Linked DNA regions of Neurospora crassa OR74A. The protein of the gene in region 1 interacts with the protein of each later gene in a pairwise test. Links are inferred from orthologs where the notes say so. Each region holds a gene or a part of one and is shown on either strand. Other genes may lie near its edges. The genes, in order: NCU02256 and NCU01695.

What was found.
Region 2: the proteins of NCU02256 (region 1) and NCU01695 interact in binary tests that used the Saccharomyces cerevisiae proteins (3 or more experiments, as listed by UniProt). The link is inferred for Neurospora crassa OR74A from reciprocal best matches to the Saccharomyces cerevisiae genes RRP6 and NRD1.

What each region holds. Positions count from the first base shown.
Region 1 is NC_026507.1:3,160,361-3,168,842, reverse strand, and holds NCU02256 (exosome complex exonuclease Rrp6), read left to right. Parts: upstream 1-3,131; 5' UTR 3,132-3,264; coding exon 3,265-3,842; intron 3,843-3,901; coding exon 3,902-4,235; intron 4,236-4,290; coding exon 4,291-5,847; 3' UTR 5,848-6,095; downstream 6,096-8,482. Other genes in the region: NCU02255 (N-acetylglucosaminyl transferase component Gpi1), read right to left, coding at 1-530, 598-732; NCU17251 (hypothetical protein), read right to left, coding at 2,095-2,096, 2,152-2,245, 2,314-2,390, 2,452-2,489, 2,542-2,582; NCU02257 (protein-tyrosine phosphatase 2), read left to right, coding at 7,876-8,266, 8,349-8,482. UniProt on the Saccharomyces cerevisiae protein: Nuclear-specific catalytic component of the RNA exosome complex which has 3'->5' exoribonuclease activity and participates in a multitude of cellular RNA processing and degradation events.
Region 2 is NC_026502.1:2,697,810-2,706,203, reverse strand, and holds NCU01695 (RNA binding protein Nrd1), read left to right. Parts: upstream 1-3,048; 5' UTR 3,049-4,011; coding exon 4,012-4,140; intron 4,141-4,216; coding exon 4,217-4,462; intron 4,463-4,675; coding exon 4,676-4,778; intron 4,779-4,869; coding exon 4,870-5,926; intron 5,927-5,982; coding exon 5,983-6,151; intron 6,152-6,204; coding exon 6,205-6,720; 3' UTR 6,721-7,147; downstream 7,148-8,394. Other genes in the region: cit-1 (mitochondrial citrate synthase), read right to left, coding at 1-791, 880-1,073, 1,159-1,223, 1,293-1,400; NCU01696 (mRNA cleavage factor complex component Pcf11), read right to left, coding at 7,666-7,713, 7,774-8,394. UniProt on the Saccharomyces cerevisiae protein: Plays a role in sequence-specific regulation of nuclear pre-mRNA abundance.

The DNA.
Region 1 (8,482 bases):
CCGATGCGTGAGACGTTCTGCTGCAGTAGCTTTTCGAGCTCCCATGCCCAATTGATTTGGTTGACTATTGTGGCAAGCGCTCGTTCTTTGGGCGACGGAATTCGCTTTATCACCGAATGTTGTTTGAGCTTCTCGACCAGTTTTCGCTTCGTTTCCTTGCTCAAACGCTCCCGCTTCTCGTCGTCCTCCTCCCCACTGTCGGCGAAATCTTGCTTAAATCCATCGTGTTTGTCTCCCAGTGCCAAGGCAATCGGATTAAGTGACATGTACTGCATTCGTCCTGGCAGAGGCCGCTCGAAAAGGATAATCTGGATACTAGACGCTCGAGCACAGGTGACAGAAGGCACACGCTGTTTAGGCGCTATCGTAACCCGGATCCATGATGAGTCGACCTCGACGGTGTCTGGAGTGTTTGAGACGCCCAAGACGCTTATGGACGATTTGCCGCATTGTTCGTAGATGCGGCTGACTGGGTGAGGGGCGTTACGGAGAAGGTTACCGAGCTTTAACGCGCTTTCAACACGTCGAGGCTATCACAGAGTCAGCGCTTTTGTCCACATCCATCCCCGGCCAGCTGTAGACCCGGAGGGCACAAACCTCAACCTCCTCCAGTACTGCCACCACGAGAACATCCAAGGCCGAGTTCCTCCAGCCGACCACGACGCCGTTACAGTCGGATCGCGGAAGGTCTGTGGGCCAGAACACGCGCATCAAGCCATCATCCTCTGGCATGACAGATAGCGCAATCGCAAGCAACCAATCAGAAAGAGCCCCTTCTCCTTAGTTGTTCCCTCGCGGAGATACCTGATCCTGGCGATCGCGGATGCTGGACCAGCATTATCAGTATATGGGATTCGCATATCGACTGTTGGTTGGGGGCAGCAGCAGCAAGCTGGTGGTGGTGGTCGTACCAGGTTCGACTCCAAAGTAGCAAGACGTTGCACAGGAATAAAGACGATGAGAAACACAAGGCTTAACACGCCGAAGCCCTTGGCGGCCCGAGTCTAGAGACGAATTGACACACAAGGTTAGCGATCCAGGCTGTTGCTGTTTCGGCGCAATGGTGGTTGGCCGGGGGCGGAGTGCCACAGTTTTTCCCTCTTTCCCATGGCATGTGACACTTACCACCACTCCGTAGTTCCAAGCGAATATGGCAAGCTCATATAGGCGAGTGACGAGGTCCCATCGGGCGGTGATATACCCAGCTACGAAGATGCCGAGTGTAAGAACAGAAAAGGGGTGCATAGAGGCGCGCTGCCCCTTACTGTTCGAGCATGCGATCGCGGCAAAAGTCTGGGCCGGTAGATGCTGTAGTCCGATGTCACTTTCCCTTGTGTGGGGAGAGGAAATGCGGGCGGATAGTGGGTGCGGTTATATGAGGAATTGGCGGGCGCTGTAATGGGAGGGGGAAAACAATACTCGACGGTTCGAAGAGGTTGGATTAGGTAGGTCGAAGTCGGGCAAAGCTGGTACTGACGGGAAGCACAACGGGAAGCCGAAAACTTGTTGATTTGGGACGGGGACGGGGGAGCAGGGCGATCAGATGCGTTATGTGTCGTGTCGTGGTGGACAGACTCGGCTCAGACTCGCGCTGAAGTTTATCGAAGCAGTTTAGGCAGTATTACAGGGAGTGTGGAGCGTTCTAAGTTCTAGCGCCCAGAAGCCAGAGTCCCCGAGCGCAACCCGACCTGGCTGCGACTGCACGGCACTCTGTAATGAACCGATTGGATGTTGGGGAGGATCCACTTCTCAAGGACGGGAAACCTTATTTGGAAGGGGAACATTCAACCGACTTGAAGTCATCCATGGCTTCCGTCCATAACAGAGAGCACTGAAAACAACTCAACAGAAGATATAATCAGAAAGGTACAGTCAAAGACCAGCGGGTGACACTTTTGGTACATGGGCTTTGTTCAAGACATGGAGGGTGTGCATAATGGAAAGTCCTTCCACGAATACCAGGCGATATATGATATATACGGAGAAGAGATAATTGAGCAATGTAAGGAGAATAACTGGATTGTTGCGGCTTTGTTCAAGGAGTTGGTCGACGAGTGGTACAGTAAGGTACTCAGACGTCGTCCAGCTCTGGTATTCTGAGCAAGTCAGTCATCCTTTCAACTTTGGCCATGTTCGTAAGCTCAAACTCACATTTTTTCTTGCCCATGTATGTTGAGTCGCTGTCCTTGAGTTCTTCCCGCGCCTCTTCAAGCAGCTTGTCGATGCCACGCTCTTTCAAAGCAACCTGTAAAATGCCATATGGTAAGCTATCTCGATGCTAGAGTACGGGCGCTGTATGGTTTTGCGTCCTACCTGCAGGCAAGAGCTATACTCCTTGAAGAGAATTGAACATTCGTTATTTTGTTCGGTACCATTGCCCCTAAGGTATTCTGTCCAGTATAAGTATCACACATGTCCACTGAGTTGGGGTGTCTGTTCCTGTAGACTTACTCTCACTGTACCATTTGAGAAAGCAAGTGTCGTAACGTCTACAACTGGTTAAGATGTTGTTTTCTTTCCGTATGAAGGACAAAAACTTACTCCTTGGCCTCGTTGCATTCCTTGGCGAGTGACTGGGACATCTTTAAAGTCCAGAGCTATGTTTTCAACCGTAGGTGTTGCCAACAAAACGATAGGCTTGGTACGGTGTCCGATGACTTATGGGTATCGACGGTATATCTATGTTTTGGGCAAAAGATCGTATAGAAGGGTGTTCGTGAGATACTCCAGGTGAATATTTTTGGTGGAAAAGACGGTTGTACGGAATCTCAAATATCAACGTTCACCGGTGAGTCCGCTTGGAAACCAACAAGTACCAGGTGCTATTCAACAATGGGGTTGCGGACTTCCACTTCGTCACAGGACGGATCTCAAAAGCCTGGACGCCGATGGATGAACGAACGTTGGTGGTCCAGATCAGCACAATCTTGGCTCTTGGCAAGCGCCCCCTTGGCCTTATGTAATCGGCTGCCCAAAGTCTCTCTACTTTAGTGCTTCTACTTCCCAGCATGGGCCATCAGGTACCTCTACCAGCGCAGAGCGGGAACAGCTCACTCGAGGCCCACTTGATGGCATCCATCGGGCAGCTTCCACTTTTCGAGGTCCCGTTCACTTTGGCGCTTTCTCCACAAGCCACATGCTGGGACTGTCCGCAAAAAAAGTTCCCAAAGAGCAGCAGAACGACAAACCATTTTTGGAAAATTGAACCGGGCTTCCACTTCCAGTGACGTCCACACCACAACGACTCCAGAACCACCGGCCAATATGGACGGCTCACTGGACTTCAAGAGCTTGAGGGAATCGCTCCAAGCCGCCCTGGTCGCTACGACCCGAACCGCCAACTCAATCGCCAGCGAGGATCTTCAGTTCCAGCGCACCGTCAACCCGACTGTCGGTGGTCAACTCGACAACAGCTCCGGCCGCCTTCTGTCCCTGGCCAACGGGCTCCTCAAGTCGACCGCGAATCTTACCGGCCAGAAGGTTGGCGCTCTTGAAGATGCCGACGACGTGGACATCCAATGGCGGAACATTGTCGACGTGATCGACTCGTTGCTCGAGAAAGCCGACACCTGCCTCGACGAGTACACCGGATTGATCAAGCGGAAGGATGCGCCTACCCCCGCCGACCAGGGCCGCGCCCAAAAACGCGTCAAGTCGTCTAACGATCGTCTTGACTGGTCCTTGAAGAGAGCCAACATTCTCAAACCACAGAATAACTTCGAGAAGAAGGTCGATAACTTCGCTACCGGTCCTTGGAAGCCTCTGTTGTCGTCCAAGCCTCATGCCAAGGTGTCACTGGAAGACAGCCTGACCACCTTTGTCGATGATGACAACAACACACAGTACGTCTAACCTTTCTTTCCAATATCATAAGAGCATGTCGCTAACATGAATCTCCCAGATACAAACACCCCTACGAAACCGAGATCAAGACGACACCGTACCCTGAGCATGTGTACAAGAAGCGCGAACCCAAGGAGTACCTTCCTATCGATTCGACATCCGCCATCTGGGTTGATACTTATGAGGGCGTCTTGGAGATGTTGGAGGAGCTCAAGCAGGCCAAGGAAATTGCGCTTGATCTGGAGCACCACGATTTTAGGTCTTACACCGGACTGTTGTCTCTCATGCAGATCAGTACCAGAGAGAAGGATTGGGTCATTGATACTCTTCAACCTTGGAGGCACAAGCTTGAGGTTCTGAATGAGGTTTTTGCGAACCCCAACATTGTCAAGGTGAGACACATCCTGGCCTTCTGCTTTCACTGTATTATCGACTAACTTGACCCAGGTTCTTCACGGTGCTTTCATGGATGTCATCTGGCTGCAGAGAGATCTTGGTCTCTACGTTGTAGGTCTCTTCGACACATATCATGCTTGCGCCGTTCTCGGGTACCCTGGAAGGAGCTTGGGTTATTTGCTTAGCAAGTTTGCCGAGTTCGAAGCCGACAAAAAGTATCAGCTTGCGGACTGGCGCATCAGACCTCTCCCCGAGGAGATGTTTTACTATGCGCGGTCGGATACCCACTACCTGCTCTACATCTTCGACATGATCATCAACGAGCTCGTGGAGCGCTCAACACCCGGAAAGCCGAAGCCTGACCTTCTCGAGCAGGTCCTCGAGAGGTCCAAGGATGTCGCCCTGCAACGATACGAGAACCTTAGCTACAACGTCGAAACCGGCCAGGGACCCCGCGGGTGGTATAATGTGCTGTTGAAGTCCCCAACGCTCTACAACGGCGAGCAGTTTGCCGTCTACAAGGCCGTACATCAATGGCGTGACAACTTGGCTCGTCGTGAGGACGAGAGTCCCTTCTTCTTTATGACACAGCAGGTTCTGGCCGACATTGCCCGGATACTCCCGACCGACAAGAAGGCTCTGTGGAGTATTCTGGATAGCAACGCCAAGGGCCTCAAGTCTCATTTGGATGATCTATTCGACGTCATTCAAAAGGCTAGGGAGGAAGGTGTGAACGGTCCCAAGATGATGGATATCTTCAAGAGCGAGTCATCTATCCTCGCCCCCGCCAAGATTGCTGCGGTCATCGCCGACGATAGCGACATTCCGGACGTCAAGGAGCTCAAAGCTGACCGGTCACAATTTTGGGGCGGCGTCACTCTGAGCTCAGTCTGGGACGGCACGGCTGCGAAGACTGCCAAGCTTGACGACGTGTTGGAAATCACCCTTCCGTATCCGGCCGACTTCATGGACGGATCTACGGCTGAGATGGAGGTGGATCAACCAGAAGAGGCGGTGCCAGAGCCCCAGCCGGCGCCGGAAGAGGTGATAGTCAACCAGGAATTCACTCTTAGGAACGGAGGCAAGCGCAAGCGCGAGGAAGAGTCTGAGGAAGAAGAGGAGGCCTCAGATGCCGAAATGGAGGATTCCGCGCCTCAGACCGAAACCGACGTGCAAACCGGTGGTGAAGCCGAAGGTGACGACTCCGACGAGGAAGAAGAGGAGGAGGAGGAAGAGGCAAGCGACAAGTCATCCAAGAAATCCAAAAAGGCAGCCAGGAAAGCGGCCAAGGAGAAGAAGAAGCAGGCCAAGGAAGCTCTCAAGGCCCAGCGAAGGGCAGAGAAGGCCGCCAAGAAGGAAGCAAAGAAGAAGGCGCAGGAAGAAGCTGCTGCTGCCGCTAAGCAGGCGGAGGGCGAGGAGAAGGAAGATCAGCCGTTTGATTACTCTCAGGCTGCGTCGGTGTTGCGTGCTCGCAAGACTCAGGAGGACGTCAAGAAGGCGAATAAGAGGTTTAACCCGTATGAAAACAAGTCTCAGGGAGGACCCAAGGGCGCAAGAGCGCATTACACGGCCAAGGCGGCTGGCAGGACGGCTACCTTTAAGAAGTGAGGAGCCGGCGGATGAGGAAGATGGAGGGCAAATAGGATAGATTATGGAACGATCAGTGCTGTGTTGGCCATTGATGCCACTTATTTTTTTTACTTGGACTATTATTATCGCGGTGCGTTTTAGTATATGCGACAGGAGAAGAGAAAGAGATGGCTTATGGTAGAGACATAGATACCAAGCAATAACTGATGACGGCCAAGAGACGTCGAGTTTTCATCCTGTTCTACAAAACGCTGAGCCACAGAAACCTTGCATCAAATTATACAGAGTCTCGACCGGTGTGAGTATTTATGTCTTTATATATCCTGCATGTTTGACCTCACACAATCAACTTGCACCTACACTACAGTTTGCCCAAGCTGATTACTGGTATTAGACTCAATTTTCATTTTCTATCTGATGGTATCACGAGGTACCACGAGGTGGAGGGGATCCGCGCGGCGGTCATGAGAGCCAGTTGACAGACCAATGTAACCTACCAACACCTTTTTGAGATCTCGTGGCAGGCGTTTCGTTTCATGATCAAGGCGTATATATCTCCATTTTGGCATTTGGCAAGTCATGGAATGATACTGTAGTATTCCGAGAATATACCTACCTATCTACACACATACATGCATACATACATACATACATACATACATACATACCACCACAACTATCTACAGCCTAAGGCGACATCGACACACCAGAAACGATCGAAGCGCCACCAGCGGTAGGTATGTCGTCCTGCTTTTCTCGTCTAGGATCTTATGCTGCCCAAGATAGGTATGTAGCTCAAAGCTCTACCTATCCGATGCTGGCATGCTGCTGCAACCCAGGGGCGCAGACAAGGATTCCTGTTGCGGCATGTCGCGTGGGCATTGCAGGATTCATTCTAAATAGGTACCTTGCCGGACAGATGAGCGGCCTTGCTGATACATGGTGAGGCAACCCAGGCAGTTCCTGCTGAGCATGCCATGCCATGCCTGCTAGTCGCCCAGGATTGGAGAGACCAGAGATATGGATGGCGGTCATTGATGATGGTGCTGTGGTGTCATTCGGGAAATGAGGCAGGGTTCGTCTATGACGGGGCTTGTTGAGGATTCTAGCCTTGCTTCGTTCGGTTGCAGTGCCGTTCTCGTTTCTTTTTTCATGTCGCCCTGGTCTACAGGGTTTCGACCTCTTCTCGTCTTTTGGTCAGAGGTCAAGGGGGGGTACCCCTGCCTACCCTGCAGTTGGTGTCCAACCCTCTCGGCAGGGCGGGTACAGCTCGCAGGGGGGCCCGGGACGGAGCAAGGACGGGAAGCTCAGCGCGAGCCATTCTAAGTAGGGTCCCTCCACTAACATCAGATGCCATCTGACCATAACAGGCAGTTGCGACGCTCAGCTTGGTCGTCATTTGTTCCATGCTGGACTTGAACTCACGGTCCCGTCCATTTGACAAACTGGAGGTGTCCAGCTGCCTCACTGCGTCTTTTTCCCTGGAAACTGAACAATTTGATTGTCACTCCGTCGCCGGCGAAACAAAGGCGGAATACTTTTGGCGCCCCACCCGCTTTGGCAAGATCGGCATTGTCGGTTCTTGACTTACTAGAGAGGTACTCTTACACCTTCTTGTTTGTGTTTTTCCCATGCGCCGCCTTTGAATATTGCGGCGCAAAACCGATATAACTACCGCCCTCCTCAAGCTTCCCTCTCCCGCTCACCAAGTACCACGATACCAGCCTTGAAGATCGCCGCTGGACAGCCTCGTCTTTCCAACAAACAAGAGCCATTCACTTAGTCCTAGTATTGCTCATCGTGCCATTCCATCCCATCCGTCAAACAGCCTTACAGGATCCCACCTTCGTTTTGCCCTCCAAGCACCACAGTGGACCCGACCTTGACGTGTCTGCGTGGCAGAGTCCCCGAGGCCGCCTGTGCCCTCGTCAGAAGCCTCTCTCACTTGCCAGACTCGGTCACCGCAGTAGCCTCTGGCACCGTCAACCGATTTGCACGTCGAATTACACCGTTCCTCGCCGACGTCATATTTATAGCGTCCCCACCATGGACCACTTTCCGCGACTACGCCCGCATCGGCGCAAACGAGACATCACCGCTCCCAGTTTGATCACCACACCTACTACCACCAAGTCAGAAAGTACTTCTGAGAAAACCGAGTCTCCTTCGGCTGAACTAACAACCCCCACCGCCACTCCTTCGCTACGCTCAGTCCATAAGCTCCGTCCCTTTCGAGTATTTTCACGTTCGTCCAAGAGGGCCCGCGAGTCCTCTCCCGCTTCGCACAAACAGACACCGACTGTCGCCGCCGTTATGGCTTCCAACGGTACCGCAGACCACCCTGCTTCGCCAGCCGAGAGCAAGACGTCGTCAGGGCAACAGCTCAAGAAAGATGGCCGACCCAAGATGCCCTCTTTCCTGGAATTAAGCGAGTCTGGTAAGCTCTATGGCTCGCCTTTTGGCGCTCTCACTTTTTTTCCCAAGACACATACACTAACAGGGCCTTTCACGTTTTACAGAAATTGAAAACAAGTTTCAAGAAATCATCTGGCTCGAGCGCAAGCGCATCCTAGAAGCGACACAGAACCCCTCACGAGATTTCCGCTGGGCCCGCGTAATGGGACCGCACCTTCGGCAGCTCGACAGATACGGC
Region 2 (8,394 bases), on another chromosome or scaffold:
GTAGACCTGGCTGACGAGCTGGAACATGGGGTCCTCGGGGAGGTGCTCCTGGGCGAACTTGCGCTGGGCAGAGTAGCGGGGGTCGGTCTTGCGGAGGACGGCGTGGCCGTAACCGGGGACAACGCGACCGGCGTTAAGGGTGTCCCAGAGGTACTTGGTGATGGCCTCATCGGAGAGATCGTCACCGATGACCTTCTTCATCTCGGTGAGCCAGTTAAGGACCTCCTGGTTGGCAAGACCGTGGAGGGGACCGGCGAGACCGTTCAGACCGGCAGCGACGGAGAGGAAGGGAGAGCTGAGAGCAGAGCCGACAAGGTGAGTGGTGTGGGCAGAGACGTTGCCACCCTCGTGATCGGTGTGGATGGTGAGGTAGAGACGGAGGAGCTCAACGAAGTCCTTGTTGTCGCCGAAGCCGAGCTGGTTGGCGAAGTTGAAGGAGTAGTCCTTGTCCTTCTGGACAGCAGCGACCTTGCCGCCCTTGAAGACGTTCTGGTAGATGCGGGCAGCAATGGTGGGGAGCTTGGCAATGAGGTCCATGGAGTCCTCAAAGGTGTAGCCCCAGTACTCCTTCTTGTTGATACCCTTGGCGTAGGCACGGGCGAAGGAAGAGGTGTGCTCGAGAGCGGTGACAGCGAGGGAGAGCTGAGCCATGGGGTGGAGGTCAGAGGGGCAGCGGTCGATGAGCTCCTCAATGAACTTGGGGACATCGGAGCGGGCAGCCCACTCGGCAGAAAGGTCGCGGACCTGCTGCTCGGAGGGGACCTCACCGGTCAGGAGAAGCCAGAAGAGACCTGCGTATCAAGTCAATACACAAGACCGCTTAAACACGATATCTCACGGTGCATGGTCCTGGCAAGGCGCGCAGGCGTGTGAACGTACCCTCGGGCAGGGGCTCCTTGCCGCCGGGAGCCTTGGGAAGCAGTTCCTGGCACTCGGGGATGGTCTTGCCGCGGAAACGGATACCCTCCTCGGCGTCGAGGACGGAACCCTCCCAGACAAGGCACTTGATGCCACGGGCACCGCCATAGACCTGGTCGAGAGTGACCTTGTCGACGACCTTGGAACCGTGCTCCCTGAGGTTGGCAGGACAGATCAGCAACACGATAGACGAGTCGAGAAGCTATCGACGGCTTATGCCGAGGCAGAGGTAGAGCTTACTTGCGGAGGGCCTTGATCTTCTCGATGTTCTCGGGGAGGAGCTCAGCGAAGCGCTCCTTGAGAGTCTAGTACGGCCAAAGAAGCGCGGTCAGCGGATGATGTCAGTGTGTCCCCGGCTCATGAGACTGCCTTACCTGAGTCTTGGAAGAGTAGCATCTGGCGGCAGTGAAGGCAGTCTGGCGAGAAGTGAGGTGGATGGAGGACCTCAGGGCGGCGGAGCCCAGGCGCATAACGGGAGCCATGGTTTACTGAGTGGGAGGACGGGATGTGGTGTGGTTGAGGAGAAAGGAACAGTACGGAAAGGAGAGAAGAAAGGGAAAAGGTTCAGGTTGAAGCAATCAAGGCGGCACGGGCTTGAAAAAAAAGCGCAGCCGGGGAGCAGGCAATGCGTGGGAAAATATGCCTGACCTGCCGTCGCAACCAGCGAACCAGGGCAGGTCCAGAGGTCCGTTAGGTGGCTTTGGCGGGCTCTGCTCCCGTCGCTCCTGCCGGGGGATTGGCCTGCCCCGACTGGATGCGAATTGCCCGCAATTGCCAGTGCCAATTGGATCCAATAATGTTCACGGGCGGGAGCAAATAGGCGGGGCTCCCACTCTGCTCGGGCCAGTGGACCGGGGTGTTCGGGCCAGTTCTCTCACGAAGTTGTTGTATTGTACAATACACCGGGCCGCGATGCTCGTGACACGACACGCTGCTTGATCCACAATGGCCGACTCGTAGACAGGCAGATGCTCCTCTTCCCTCGCGAATCCGCGAGTATGAGACTGGAGAAGCCCACACCGTAATCACCGTAGAGGCCGGCGCCAAATCTCCGTTTTTTGATGGATACAATATCCGGCCCTGAATGTGGTCAATTTGGATCATGAAGCTGAACATGGAACTCTGCGGGCCAAAGGTTCAATGTTTCTATCCGGATGTACGTGGAGGTAGCTTGGCCGAGCTGCCGAGCTCGAGCGGGTCAGGGGGTCGCTGACGCCGTTCTAAGGATCGAACGCGGGGCGGCTCCCACACGTGTGTTTCGGTTCCCAAGTCTCCTCCCGTCCATGCGCGCGGTAAAAGGATGGCCGACGACGGAAGACCGGAAGAATACCTGGACACGACCACGCTGAACACTTGCGGCACCGACATCATGTGCGCGTCTCTGCAATCGCATGTGTCTCGAGGGACAGCGGTTGTCAGACCAGACCTCAACATCGCGATGTCAAAACTGCTTGTTCACTCGCATCGATGTCGACACCGGCATGCATTGACGTCACGGCACCCTTTGGGCCTTTGGGACTACCTAGGTATGTACTTGGCCCTTGCGAGATCCCTAACTCATCCGGGGAAGCCGCCCCTTTTGACAGGTGTGGAAACGTTCCTGCTCCGGGTTTCCAGAAAACAATGTTGGAATTGCCAATTGATGGACGGATTGATAATAGATGAACCCGCCTGCACAATCTGTTCCCTAGCACGTCCTCGACACTCAACGCTCATCATCAATGTTCGTGGAACCTTCGGGGTTGCATGGAGAGTCGGATGGAGCACGCAACCGACTCCAGTAAGGGCTTCATCCAATCTCAGGTTGGATGTGGATCAACGGTTGGGGTTCCTAATTTACCGCAATCCGTCTCGGCTTTGTTGCCTTAGTGCCTCATGCTCTTGGTACGTGCGTCAGGCCACAACACGTCCGACACCTCTCTGCAAGGCTTTCGTTTGCTTGTAAAAAGAAGGTTTTCCGAGCCTTCAGTCACAACAGTTCGAGGCGGGTCATTCGAACCAATCAAGGCGTGATTGGGTGGCTCGAAAAAGTGCCTGCCAGTTCGTTCCTCCCCTCGGGCCACGCATCACAGCCACGGTGCCACAGCAGCACAGCACACAGGCAGCAGGGCAGGCAAACCGAAGCGACGAACGGATGCAATCGAACCCGACAGACGACTCGAGCAGAGTCAAGATCAGGGCAGCCACTACAGCCGAGTACCCACCCATACCTGCACCAACCACCGACCACTGGCACTCCCCCGTCCAGTCCACTTCTTCTACTTCTGCAACGACAACTTTTCTTTCTCCCCGCTTTCCAACCCCAACTCCCTCCTCACTTCTCGCATCACCACCACATCACGCTTTTGTCGTCATCAGCGAAAATAATCTTAAACGCCAACGGAGACCGCCTTCGTCAATCCAGCAATCCAGTAATCGACTAGTCGCCCAGGATTTGTCCATGCATCTCGACTCAGCACACGCTCACCTGGATTTTCTCACTTTCTAGTAGCCTCACAGTAAAAGGGTGCGCCCAGATCACATCCGCGCAGGTCAAGTCCTGATCTTGTCTGCCCTTCGTACAGCTGCTTTCGTTGCGGTTCTTGCACGTCGTCACAGCTATCCCCAGTTGGTGGTTTCCACTTCGCGCGTCACGTCAGAAAAATAAAAAGGACCACCGTATTCTTGCTCGCACACACGCCGGCCAGCAACATATATCTCTGGCCTCTCGGCTTCTCTTTTTTTTGCTAGGACTTTGCACTGGCCTACGGCTTCTGCGCTTGTCTTAAGACGCACAGAAAGGACAGTCTCTTCGTACAAGCTGCTCTCTTCTGAGTACCCGGTGGCGCGGGCAAATTGCAGCTTCGTAACCTCGGTGATATACGTCGAGAAGCAAGGAAAGCAGACCTTGGATGCCGACCTGTTTGAGCCTTAATCAACGTACTCCGTCTTTCCACCCGTGACAAAGGAGCATGGTATTGGCATAAAACCTTTAATCAGCCTTCACCGTATCACAACCGTACTACATCGCAGCTTGTATTTCCAAGCCCAACGGCCAAGTTGATTGCCGACTTCAGCTGGTCTTGCTCGATTTTCAAACAAAAATCATCCATCATGTTGTCGTCACAGGCGGCCGTAGCTGAACTAGAGAAGGGCCTCGGGGACATGCAAAACCTGAAACCGCCCGGTGTCTCTGGCTCGAAAATCAATAGCCTCACCATGCTGTGTTTGAACAACGTCCAGGTAAGAAAAGCGCCGTGTCTGGGCTCGACAGTATGCACGATGGAGGCACCAGAGCTAACCACACATCCTTCGACAGTACGAATCACAGCTGGTTCAGAAGTTATATACCCACTACAAGAAGACACCAAACACTCACAAGCTGGGCGTCCTATACGTCGTAGATTCTGTAACCCGCAAATGGTTGGAGAAGGCAAAGGCCCTTGAACAACCCGTCACCCTTGGTGCACAGGATGGCACCTATGCTGCCGGTGTCCATAGAGTGACTGAACTAATGCCCATGTTCATGAACGCCATCATCTCTTCGGCCCCCGAGGATCAAAAGGTACGCACACAACCGCACACTCATGTGCCGTCTTACACTTATACCTCCATTTCTGCCAAACGGACTAGACCCCGAGCACACTTGGGAGCGGCTGTAAGATCAGGCCACACCAGTCGTCTTCACTTTCCTAGACCATATCGTGCATCCATTTTTGGTTGTATTTAGTGTCCAGTATCATGTTGTTCATAAACTCACACCCGTATCGTCTTGTAGGAGAAGATCAAGAAGCTGGTCGACATATGGGAAAAGGGCCAGACGTTTCCTCCCGATATGGTCAACACCTTCAAGGAGAAGCTGAATGCTCATCAACAGCACAGTAGGTTTTGCCCGGATCCTCCTAAGCATATTCCCTTACGCGTGTGCGGTGCTCGTTGTTTGCCTGATCTAACTGTAGCGTGTGCCGATAGATGTCTCGACAACACCACCAGGCAGTCCCCCTCCCAACCCGCTGGCTTCCTTGCAGGCCACTAGCAGACCTCTCCCTACGCCTACAACTACCGCCGTAATGCCGTCCAACATCCTGGAGACCTTAGCAAATCTTGCCCGCTTGAATGCGAATGCGGCTCAGAGTAATTCCAGCGCGGCCGCCCCTGCTCCCGCCCCGGCCGCAACTGCGGCTGTGGCCCCTTCTCCGGTACAAATGGGGGTCCCGCAGATTCCTCCTGTTACTTCTTCCACGCCGCATCCCATGTTTGCTACTTCTGGCCAGCCTAGCAATGGAGCATTGCCAGCCGGATTTCTTCCCGGTGTGGGGCACCCGGGTATGCCGTACTTATCAGCATCGCAGCCGGCGGGGCAGTCGGTGAACATGCCACCGACGATGCCATTTGGCTTCCCAGCTCCGGCCGCACAGCTAGCTCAGCCTGTGCAAGTGCCAGGAGCAGCCCCTAGTGCGAATACCGCTACGACGGTTCAGCTGTTCGCCGCCCTCGCCGCCCAGGGCATCCCTCTTGACAAGATTGCCAGTGTAATGCAGCTGATGGGTCAACCAAGTGGCACCGCCCCGGCAGCACCTCCCCAGTCCGTTGCTCAGCCTCTATATGCCGGCTATCCTCCTCCTCCCCCTGCTGGCGGTGTATCTGCTGCCCCTGCATGGGAGGCCGTGAGACATGATGAATCACGTGATCGTAATGGCTATCATGATGGGATGAGGTCTCCAAATAGGCCTCGGGGTCGCTCTCGCTCACGCTCGCCGCGGCGCTGGGATGTCAGGGGGTCGCCTCGAGCCCGCGGTAACGATCGCTTTGATTATGGGCGGAGCACCCCGCCCCGTGGCCATCCGGATGATCGTGGTAGAGACCGGGATATGCGTATTCCCGAGTACCGACAACGGTCGCCCCCCAACCGTAGACATGAGAGCCCGGGTCAGGAGCCGCCCTCCGAGAAATGGGTCAAACACGATCCTACTCTTCCCAATGGTCACATCAAGGTGTATAGCCGCACGCTGTTTGTCGGTGGTGTGACGTAAGTTTGCCAAGCTGTTCTCCAGCCTATATGTGCATTGACTGACAGACATGTAGATGTTCCGAAGCCGAACTCCGCTCCATTTTTGGTCGCTACGGCGAAGTACAAACGTGCATCGTCAACAAAGAGAAAAGACATGCCTTTGTCAAGATGTACTACCGTCAAGATGCTGAGAATGCAAAGAAAGCCATGGAAGAGAACAGAGGCTCCGACGTCCAGCTGCGGGTAAGTTTGCGACTCATATCTTCGTTATTGGTCGCCAACTAACGATTTTGTAGACTCGTTGGGGTGTTGGCTTTGGCCCCCGTGACTGCAGTGACTACCAGACTGGGATCAGTGTCATTCCTATTCATAAGCTCACCGAAGCCGACCGGAAATGGATGTTGACGGCACCCTATGGCGGAAGTGGTGGCCAACCTATTACCACCGGTCTTGTTGTCGAGGAGCCAGACATTGAGATTGGCGCAGGTGTTTCGTCAAAAGCCATCAGTCGACGTATGCAGACAGACAAAGGGGGTAACCATGGCCCCAAGTCAAGCCGCCGAGATGAGGAGCCCCAGCATCCTACTGGGAACGCAGGTGGACCGCCCCCTGCCGGTAACCGCTGGCGGCATGGTCGCGAGAAGCATCGCAATAACAGTGGCGATGACAGACGCGGCGATCGGAATGACAAGAATGCAGCCAACGATGACCCGATTGTGATGGGCTTGCCTGGAAACATCACTGTTGGACCGAACGGCATCAATTTTCCTCCCAATTATGCCTTCACATCCAACAGCACGTCCAACAACTGAAGGGTTCGGTTCCTGCTGGCTCGCGGAGATAAAGGCCCAGGGAAAAGCTGAGGAAGACGAATCTGAAGAGAGAGCACACAGGCGAGGGATCAGTTAAGGGAGGAGATACCCCTTGAGATGGATAAAGAACCATGGAGAAAAAAAAAGTTACTGCTATGGGGCCGGAGGCTATCGTTATTTGCGGCGTATTGGTATTCTTTTTTCTGGGTCACTACGTTAGTAGAGGGGCAGCGGTAGGGTATTGCTCTAGGTCCGGTGTATCCTATCTGGTTCTTCTTCAAAGCAGAGGGTTGCTTGATGGTTTTGATCCTTCCGCAACTGTATACTTTATCTCTTCTCTTTCGTTAGATGTCTCTTGACGGTTTTACCATTCTGAAAACCGGTATGATAATTGGTAACCTTAGTGAGAACAAACGTACACTTCTTGTATTCTACTGTAGTCCTTGCTGAGAAGCGCCTCGTCCAACCTAATCCTGCATATTATAACGATCTATTTGCAGATTCACTGTGGTCAATGTCCGAGCTAGAATAAGTACTACTGAAGATGGTGTCTGCTCTCATTCGGACGGCATATGACAGAAATCCAGACCAAGGTCAAGTCTCTTCGAGAACGTGTTTAACATTGGCGGTATTGTGCTTCTCCAGCTTACGTATCGCGCTGTGTTTGTACAACTCTGGCAAGTCAATGCACTGGCAAGGTGTTTGCGTTTGACCTCAAACCGATGGCAAAAGCATAGTAACGATAGAGCACTAGCTCAAAAGTGCTTCGAAGATTCGCTTTTGTATTCGGATGATCTTTCGGGTACCCAAGCTTTGTGCTGACCATATGCTCAACAGTACTCGATCAACCACCACCCTTGATCCCTTTACGCCTCCTTTTCCCCTTGATAGCCGTGTTTGGCCCTACCTTCCCACTTACTGACTGGCTCGCGCCTCGCAGCACTCTCAATATTCCAACTTTATCCTTCCCTTGGCCCCTGAGTAAGCATCATCCTGTTTCATCCAAGTTAGCAATGCACTCAACTACACCCTTGCCACGAACTAGAGACTTACCTCAGCTTTCCTCTTCCTCCCCCCCAATCCATTCTCCCCGCCCATGCTCATTAATCCATTGTCACCACCATCTCCAGGCCCAACACCGCCACCAACACTGCCATTTACCTCCTTATGGCAACTGGCATGATATACCCTCTCGCCTACTTTCGTGGCGTCCATCCACACCCACTCCTGCGCCTCATCAAGCCACTTCATCTCGAATCTTTCCTGGCAGATGGGGCACATGTTATTGACTTTGGCAGAATCCTCGGGAACGGGGATGTAGTCGAGACCGCCCCTTTTGCCTCCCTTTCTACCACCGCCGTGACCGGGCATGGCTTTCCCGCCACCATGACCTCCCGAATGATCAGCACCCATGATGCCACCACCTGGGTACAGAGAGTTGGGGTTATAAGAATTATTGAAGCTCGCCTCGGGGTCGTAATCATCCTCATCCTCATCCACATTATCATCATAGTTGAGTGTATCCTGACCCGGCACACCTCCACCACGACCACCATAACCACCGGCACCACCACCAGCAGTAGTATCAGAACGGTGACCGTGATCAGAATCAATCGCTTCCAACGAGTTCACCCAATCTGACTGCTCCACCCACCAGGACCGGTGCTGCCCGCG